2 linked regions of the Oryzias latipes genome follow. The protein of the gene in region 1 purifies or fractionates together with the protein of each later gene. This does not show direct contact. Links are inferred from orthologs where the notes say so. Each region holds a gene or a part of one and is shown in the gene's direction. Other genes may lie near its edges.

Region 1 (4,229 bases):
ACAGCCCAAAGACAGTCCATGACCCAGACCTTAAGTAGCAGCACAGAATGTAAAACCAAGAAACAAATGTCCAGATGTTCTCTGAATTCATTTCTAGTGGCAAAACTGAACATACAAGCATTGTTTTGTGGCTTTTTGTGTTGTGTTTAGAGAAGAGACACTTTCGTCATTTGACAAATATACCGGTAAACCAAAAAGCTACATATTGAAATTAAATCCTTTCAATGTTTTGTGTACGAAATCCATTCACTTCACATGTAATGATGGCTTTTACTGTCAGCAGCTGTGTGCTATTCATTGGATAAAATGTCGAAGGCCGTCTGCAGTTCAAATACTGAACCTGACTGTACAGGAGAACTGGACTGAGTCACTCCTCCCCCCTCACTGGTTCTTAGGAGCTAAAATCCCATAGATGTCTATAGAGAAATAAACAGCTGTTACTCAGTCATCCTATTGGTAACAATAACCACTCTTGCTTTGATACCTTTTTAATAAGTTCTTGTTATTCCTAATTAGGATATTTTTTGTTTATCACAAGTTCTTCAAGTTCTAAAACTGACCAGTCAGATGCCTCAATAAAAGTATGTGGTCTCATGTTAACTATTTAAAACATTTGACAGATTTTGTGCTGCCTGATTTCAAGTGGTAGGGGTGTGGACTTTCAACAAGCTCACTCCTGAATGGCAAGAGTTGTTGCCATAGAAACGATGACTCAGACTAAACGATACTTGCATGGTGGTGTCCGTATTGCGCCACTGAGTTGTCTTCATGTGATTGGAGCCAGAAGTAAGCCATTTTCTTTGGATGACGCCATGTACACTCCAGTTAGTCAATGTCTGAAACAGTTAAAAATAGGTCCAGACTCCAAGCTTTCTGTCTTGTTGCCTTCAAACATCTTAAGTCTAGTTGCTGTTTGTTTGTTTTTTTAAGTCCTGATGAATCCGTTTTTGTTGTCTTAAATCTATCACTGTTTTCTTGTGTTATAATCTATGTTCATCAATGCTCTGGGCTAAAGGGAAAGTATGCTCAGGCTTATGCCTTCACCTGACATGAAGACCATCAACAACATGCCAGTGTCCTCCAGCAGCACAACACACAACCCCCCCCCCATGTTGGACATTGTCTTTCTGCTCCAATGGGCAACAAAAGGTTGAGCCACTCCGCATCTGTATGGGATTGTGCTCCAGCACTTTAAGTATCGTTCAGCTGTGTGTGTGGGGAAGAGAGGATAATTGGATGTTAGTGGGGTTGGGGGGGGCGTGAAAAGGGAAAACTAGGTTACAGATCATTTTCTGTCTGGCCCACAAGCCGACAGAAATCCTGGAGGAGTTTGGATTAACATGCTGATTTGATTTGTACTTGTTACCAAAAAAGTAACAAATACTTTGAAAGTACTTTCAAATGAAAGACTAATCCATTTTCCTCCTGTCTGTCTTTCTTTTTTTTTTTAGCGGACATAATATCTACAGTTGAGTTTAACCATACAGGAGAGCTGCTGGCTACTGGAGACAAAGGAGGGCGGGTGGTGATTTTTCAGCAGGAAATAGAGGTACAGCTACATGTGTGCAACGGGCATCTGCTTTAGAGGAAAGCAATCTCCTCTTTTTGTTTTTAGGAAACAAGGGGAATAATTACATGATCTGAGGCTGAAGTTCATTTTTTTTTGTCAATTTCAACAGAATAAAAGCCTGCCTCAGTTCCGGAGTGAGTACAATGTTTACAGCACCTTCCAAAGCCACGAGCCAGAGTTCGACTACCTGAAGAGTTTGGAGATCGAAGAGAAAATCAACAAGATCCGCTGGCTTCCTCAGAAGAATGCTGCACAGTTTTTGTTGTCAACAAATGGTAAATCTGTCACTTATTGACTCCAAACAGCTGTGATTACATAGGGAGTTATACCCTTGGTACAAATAAGCTCACTCTGTTTTTTGGACTGTTAGTCACAGTATAAGAAGCACTTTTGGGAGAAATTTAAGAAAATGGGAACAAAGACAAACATTTTTCATCTTGAAAGGCAAATCATAACAATGCAATAGACAACAATAATAGACGGAACATCTGCACGCTTCACTACCGTAACACAATGGTGCTTATTTAGCTTCATGAAACATAGGAGGAATCGGCGATCTCAGAAGCAACAAATGGAAATTGTCTGAGTAGTTTGTCGGAAATATTAGCAGTGTCAATAAAAATTTTTTTTACATTTCTGAAAAACATATTGTCAATTTTAGAAAAAGTTTTCAACATGAGTCTCTTTCACACTGTTTGTAGATTAAAAAAGTTGTTTGTTTTTGATTTCAGATAAGACCATTAAGTTATGGAAAATCAGTGAACGAGACAAGAGACCTGATGGTTATAACCTGAAAGAAGATGATGGAAGATACAAAGATCCCAATTCCATCACATCACTGCGGGTGAGTCAAAGGCGTCAGAGACACCTGAATGAGAATTTAAGAAAGCCTTTGAGTCACGTTTGTGTTTACTGTTGGCACAAATCAGAGTAAACAAAACATTGGATTTTGGGTTTTAAAGTTTTTAGCTGCTTAACATAAGTGTGACCTCGCAAATTAAAAGAATGGTAAAAAATATATGCGCGAGTTTGGATCCATGTTTTAAAGAAAGTCCAGTGCGGATAAAGCTGCGTAACCAGTGTGTATGTGAGAATCTCTAGACCTCATTCTTTTTAATACATTTTAATTTTTTACTGTTTCATTCAGGTACCTGTTTTAATACCCATGGACCTGATGGTGGAAGCCAGCCCACGGAGGGTGTTTGCCAATGCTCACACCTACCACATCAACTCTGTTTCGGTGAACAGCGACCACGAGACCTACCTGTCTGCAGACGACCTGCGCGTCAACCTCTGGCACCTGGAGATTACCGACCGCAGCTTCAGTATCCTCAAACACGTGCTGGCACTTCCTGTCAAATCTTGTTAGTAGCGGTTTAAGCAGCATGGGTACAATCCAGGCGGTAGTTTTTGCTCTCCTTGACCGTTTCCTCTCAGATATTGTTGATATTAAGCCAGCCAACATGGAGGAGCTGACAGAAGTGATCACAGCAGCAGAATTCCATCCTCATCAGTGCAACACTTTCGTCTACAGCAGCAGCAAAGGCATCATCCGTCTGTGCGACATGAGGGAGTCAGCTCTGTGTGACAGGCACACCAAGCGTGAGCATCCATGATGGCAGATTTCATGTTTTCTGACTCCAGACCGTCAGAAAGTTCTGAATTTTTTTCTGCTTTCAAAGTGTTCGAGGAGCCAGAAGATCCGAGTAACCGCTCCTTCTTCTCTGAGATCATCTCCTCCATCTCAGACGTCAAGTTTAGTCATAGCGGACGCTACATGATGACCAGAGACTATTTGTCTGTGAAGATTTGGGACCTAAACATGGAAAACAGGCCGGTGGAGACCTATCAGGTGAGGAGTCTGAGTGAGATGGTTACATAAATGTGAACAGAGCTTCATAAGCTCTGATGATCAACACTGACAAAAGTAGTTTCAGTTTAGTCAGGACAACAGAGTATTAGCGCCACCGTAAAATAAAAAAATCAGAGAATAAAGTTGTACATTTATGAGGAAAAAAGTCAAATTTTCTGATAATAAACTTGTATAACCAGACATTTTATGTTTTAAATGGCATTACTTTTACCTTGTAAAATGGCAATTTTTTTGAAGAATACATTTTACCTTGGTAAAATTTTGACTTCTTCCCCTCAATATAGTGTGATGTTACTTGTAAAATGTTGGATTTCTCGTTTTTTATGGAGGCCCAAATACTTAGTCGTAATTCTGGTCATTTATGCACAACAATAAAACAAAACGGTCTTGTCATAATTTTAGTATTCCACCTCAGGAGCTCCTCCTTAAATTCACTTACAAATTCTCACATCGGTATGTCCGCTCATGTGTGAAGTATGATTGTTGTATGTAATTCCAGTGTTGAATTAAATACCATGATGGCCACTAGGAGACGCTGTTTTGAAGAAAGCACTGATGACTCCAGGCTTGTAAAGCTTCTTAGATTCTTTAAATTCATACATTTACAACAAACTCCGGTTGACTCAATGCTTGTTATTCCATAACAAAAAACAAAGATACAAAAATGTAAAAGTTTTTTTCCATCAACCAAAACCTGTTAGTCTGCACTGCGCTTCTTCACCTCAGAGATCAGTCACTCCGACTCCAGATATCGTCTGCATCCACAACAAAACCAAATCCAAACAA
Region 2 (4,970 bases), on another chromosome or scaffold:
TTTCCCCTAAAAAATGTAATAGTTTATCAATGTTTCTGTTCAATACGTTTATGTATTATTGGTGACTAAAAATAGACATTTAGGTGTGAGAATGAATGTTTGAAGAAATGGATGGATACATGGATAAAATGAATGGATGGGAAAGCGACATTACATGTGTTAGAGGTGACAGATGTAATGAAATGATGTGAATGAGTGAATGAATGTAATGCAACCACAGGGTTGCGTGAGTACAAAAAAAAAAAATTGGTACTGGGACACCGTCCACTGCTGTTCAGAGCTGTGGTTGCAAGAAGGAAGGAAGCCTCAGACCGTGAAGGCCTCACCCTCTCCAACCGCTTCCATGTCCTGTCAGTTCCAACGTCTGACAAAGTCCTGGTAGCCGCTTCTCCACTCAGCGGTAAAAATCCTCGCCCTGTCGCTGCAGCTTGGACCAAGAGAGAAAGCCACCTGGAGCTTCATCTCCTGCCAAACGCAGACAGCTCCTAAATGCCTGTTCACACCGGGACGAATTTCGCGCGCGATATTCGCCGACGTTTAACGCCTTGTGACTAAACAAAGGGCACCAATGTGAGTGTGCACACCGACGCGAAAAAACGCCACGCGTCAAAGCGTCACTTTTTAAAAAACGCCTTGGGTTCGTTTTTTTGGTTTGACGCGTCGCGTCGAAATCTATTCGACCAATGAGAATGGCGCTTTTGCACACGTCTCTGGAGCTTCTGAAGTCACAGTAAAACACAACTTGGGGGCACTCAAACACAAAACTGCCTTTCTAAGCACACATACCAGCGAAGAAGATAGACGCCAAGTAGCGTCTACACTGCCGCGAAGAAATAATGACGGACATTCTAAAATATCCCCGAACCAAGCACTAGTTGGAGCAACTGGTGCTTGAAATATTCATGTTTTCCTTGTATTATTCTGACAAGCGCGTAAATACTTGCTCTCTTCTTCTGTATGAAAAGCGACTTTAAGAAGAGTGAAGCTGCGCAGCGCCACCTTGTGTACAGGAGTATTTCTGTTTACATTAAGCGCCATCTAATGTCAGGGAATGAAATTGCATGTTTGCTCGGCTCATCGTCAGCGAAAATCGCCTGGGTGTGAACACAAAAGACGTGGCGAAAAACGCTGGCGAATAACGTCTGGCGAATATTCGTCCCGGTGTGTACGGGCCTTAAGAGACGCAATGAGTAGAGGCCCTGACACCCGCTGCCCTCCGAACGCAATCCACGTCCCGTGGGATCGAACAACGTGGGGTTTCTATCAGCGATCTTGATCGGAGCGTAGGGTTCAAAGACCTTTCCTGTTTGTGGTGTCCTGCCAGCCTCATCGGCCGCTTCCCCTTCTGCTACACTAGCCAGTTGCCCGGTGGGCAACTGAGCTGTCCACTGAAGCCAACGTGGGCAAACACAGGTGGGGCCACATTTTCTGCCCACTTTTAAATCATATAGGGCCCACTTGGCCTTGCTGGCTGGGAGTGGGCTGAACTTTAGGAAACTAGAATGTAAATGGATTTGACATTCATTCTAGTTTACTTGTTTGTATGGACACATATTTCATTTAAACTTGATGATCTGGAAGAAATCCAAGAATCTGGAAAACTTCACTGTTCAGTCGCAGAAATGTCTGTCTGAGTCTCACTGCTGGAAGTTTGGATGAAGATGATCTGGATCCACTTTAGATCAGAGAATCGGATCGATCAAACTGAACCGATATTGATATTGTCAACCACAAATAATCGAATCGTTATTAAAGTGAATCTACTCCCCCTAGTAACAGATGTTCTTAAATCACAAAAAATAGAGCATGAACGTTGTTATTGTGTCAAATGTTTTTTAAACATACACATATGGATCACGTCTTTTAAACACTTTTCATCCTTCTGCCAACGTTCTTTACACAAATGTCGTTTTGCGCCCCTTGGGCGTGCGTGCGCCTCGTCGTTTTAGTGAACGTGTTTCGCCGTCCCGCCGCGTATTGCGTGTTTTTGCGTGTTTCGGAGCGGGGCAGACAGATGATGAGCGCGGCGCAGGCCGGCATATGGCTGGCTGGGTCCCCTCCCCCTCCCTTCCTCCGCTCCGCTCCGCAGCAGCAGGACGGAGCCGCTTCAGTTTTGAAGCCGTGGCATGAATGATCTCATCTGAACCCGATCTCCGCTCTCCCTGTCGTCGATCCTATGACCGAGACAGGTAAAATAAGGCAGAAACGAGGTGAGTGCGGCCGCCGTGTTTTTACAGCCGGGCCTCGCAGGGACCGTCGGGGACGTTTAGTTCACGGCCGCCGCGAAAACTCCTGTTTTTGAGAAAGGAGGAAGGACCGCGGAGGGAGGGAGGGTGGGCGTTCGGAGCGTACTAGCTTACCGCTCGCTAGTTTACACGTTATAAAGAGGACCGAACAGGGACAGAGAAAATGCCATATGTTCGATTCCGCCGCGAAAGGCCCGCTTGTGACCATTGGGGGACGGTTATCCGGCGCCAGTCCACAGACCGCATTCAGAGTAGCGCCGCGGCTAGCCGGCTAGCTGTTAGCCGCCAGCGCAAAATGGCCTCATTGTCGGCCGCTGGAAGACAAAGCGTGCGGCGGCGTCGCCGGCGGCTCTTTACCCCACCACTCCCACCGCCGTACTTGGCGGTCGGTACCAGAGCGTGGTTGACGGAGGGGAACCGACCGCTTTGTGGGGCGCGCGCGGACGGTGGTTTTAATTGATTAGGCGGCGCGGGCTGTAAAAGTGCCGCTGCCTTTTCTCTCCGCGGTGGGGGATGGGCCCCGGTAGCAGCCATTGACGTAAAGCGCGGCTGCATTTTGTTTGGCCCCAGCTCTAAGTCTTCACTGTTTACATGAAAATCACCTCCAAAAACGACACGTTTTCTCCGTTTCTGGACGTGAAAGGAGGCATTTCCGGGTGTCTGTCCACATCTGTCTCCACACCGTGTGGCGCATGGCAGCATTTCCCGGTTAAATAAAAGACGAAGTGCAATAATATATCATGAAAAACAAGATTACATCCTTATGTGGAGGTTTCATTATATATACACGTCCACTTAGAACAATTGAGCATTTATAGCAGACAAACAAATGTAAAAATCAATACAACCGCATTATTGGAACCTTCTTGTGCAAAGGGAAGAACTTGATTAGCAAATAATCTTCTAAAAACAGTCGACATGTTATAAATGTAAACGTTGAAAACATAAGTCTAGACACATTTTGTTTTACATTACTAGGAAGTGAAATAAACTAAGAACAAATCGATTTATTTGGCAATTACTATAATTATCAAATGTGTTGTTAATTTAAATGTTTTATTTTCCCACCATTTAAAGGGCTTATATCATGCCAAATGAATGCTTTTTAGTGTATTTTAATGTTCATTCCTCACAAAAACATCCCTAAAGTGGCTTTTTGATCCAGTCACTCATTTCTGAGTATTCCTCTAAAAACCGGATCTCTGAGCCCCGGCCCCTCCCAATCCATGAAAACAAGTGGGTCCTCACATTGTGACATCACAAAGTGAGGACCCGCCCCTTCCAGGAAGAGTCTGAGCTGCCAGCTCCGCCTCCAGGCTAAAAGACACACCCACTTTCTCAGTGGAGCTAGTGGTGATCGGCTAAACAATTTCATTTTTTTTATAAACATCCATCTTTGGAAAAGTTCAGATGTTTGACGCTCTGCTGAAGCCAGCACTAGGATGATGTCATAAAATGGGTGGCACCCACAGGGAGAGAAAGGCGGAGCCTCTGTGATCGAGTCGTCTTACATCCTAGTAGGAAAATAAGCTGTGAAAATAGTGTCCCAAAGGTAATATATGATAATAAATATGGATATAGTTTACTCTGAAAGGCTTTAGAAAAGAAGGACATAGACCCTTTAAAACCAATTGGGTAAGCCTAACTCCCGTGTGTCACCCATGCTACACCAGGTCCATTTCTTTAATGAGATGACTAACTATTTTCATTAGTTCACCTTTTGGCACATCCCATTAGGGGTCGCCACAGCAAATCAGCTTTCATTGAAAAAAAAAACTGGTGGATAGGCCCGAATTTCATACTTATATATATATATTATATATATATATATTATTATATATATACCATTGTCACGTTCAGGACGAGCCATTGACCTCCAAAAACTGGACTGAGTGAGTGTGACATCATCCACAGAAAACGCTTTTCTTATAGCCAAATAAAGTCAATTCTGTCAATTTTGGCAATACAGACATCACCATGTTGGAACCAGATGTTGTCGGTGAGCAGTGATCGGTCGGTCTGAGTCGACGTTTCTATAGTAATCACTCTCACCAATCAGGAGTCAGCTCGTTGGAAGCTACACCCCTACCACTTGAATTCATACGAAATCTGAATGTGGGTAGCCACTGAGGAATCTTATCTGTCAGTTTATAATTTGAATAACTTAAACAAAGGAAAAAATATCATGTAGAAAAATTGAGGATTATTAGGAACATTTTTTTTAAAAAAGGTATCAGAGCCAGAGCGGTTCTTCTGACCAATAGTATGACGGAGTAACAGCTGTTTCCCTCTGGAAGTCTGTGGGATTTTGGCTTCTTGGAGCCAGCAGGTACTTCCTGTTTGGAATGCCAGAGGGGGAGGGGCTGCTCGGTCCAGTTCTCTTATACAGTCAGTTGTACAACCAGTTTTTTTTTATAAATACAGGAACTGAACATTTTGTATTTGTAAGTCAGTTATGTCAGTAACACTTTGAATTTCAGATCTTTTTTTTTACCCATAAAATCTAAATTTGATCCAAGGTCTACTAAAACCTTGGATCAAATTCATATATATATTTTTTAGATCTTTTAAATGTGAAATCACTGAGAAAACGGCAAACTGTGGTTAAAACGGGGTAAACGTGTGGTGACTGAATGTGAACAGACACACCGCCTGCTGCCACGGCTCAGTCCTTAACAAAAAAAACGCAAAAGCTCTATTTTATTCAACAGGACCAGTCTGACA

The links. Proteins that work in one complex are often made in the same cells at the same time.
Region 2: the proteins of serine/threonine-protein phosphatase 2A 55 kDa regulatory subunit B alpha isoform (region 1) and cdca4 purify together in Homo sapiens (affinity purification with mass spectrometry; 4 studies listed by BioGRID and IntAct, with this or other methods). This does not show direct contact. The link is inferred for Oryzias latipes from reciprocal best matches to the Homo sapiens genes PPP2R2A and CDCA4.

Annotation. Positions count from the first base shown.
Region 1 is NC_019870.2:24,066,344-24,070,572, reverse strand, and holds part of serine/threonine-protein phosphatase 2A 55 kDa regulatory subunit B alpha isoform, read left to right. Parts: intron 1-1,451; coding exon 1,452-1,549; intron 1,550-1,679; coding exon 1,680-1,845; intron 1,846-2,301; coding exon 2,302-2,414; intron 2,415-2,717; coding exon 2,718-2,895; intron 2,896-3,007; coding exon 3,008-3,172; intron 3,173-3,252; coding exon 3,253-3,422; intron 3,423-4,229. UniProt on the Homo sapiens protein: Substrate-recognition subunit of protein phosphatase 2A (PP2A) that plays a key role in cell cycle by controlling mitosis entry and exit. Involved in chromosome clustering during late mitosis by mediating dephosphorylation of MKI67.
Region 2 is NC_019880.2:21,571,887-21,576,856, reverse strand, and holds the start of cdca4 (cell division cycle-associated protein 4), read left to right. Parts: upstream 1-1,967; 5' UTR 1,968-2,210; intron 2,211-4,599; exon of another isoform or gene 4,600-4,970. UniProt on the Homo sapiens protein: May participate in the regulation of cell proliferation through the E2F/RB pathway. May be involved in molecular regulation of hematopoietic stem cells and progenitor cell lineage commitment and differentiation.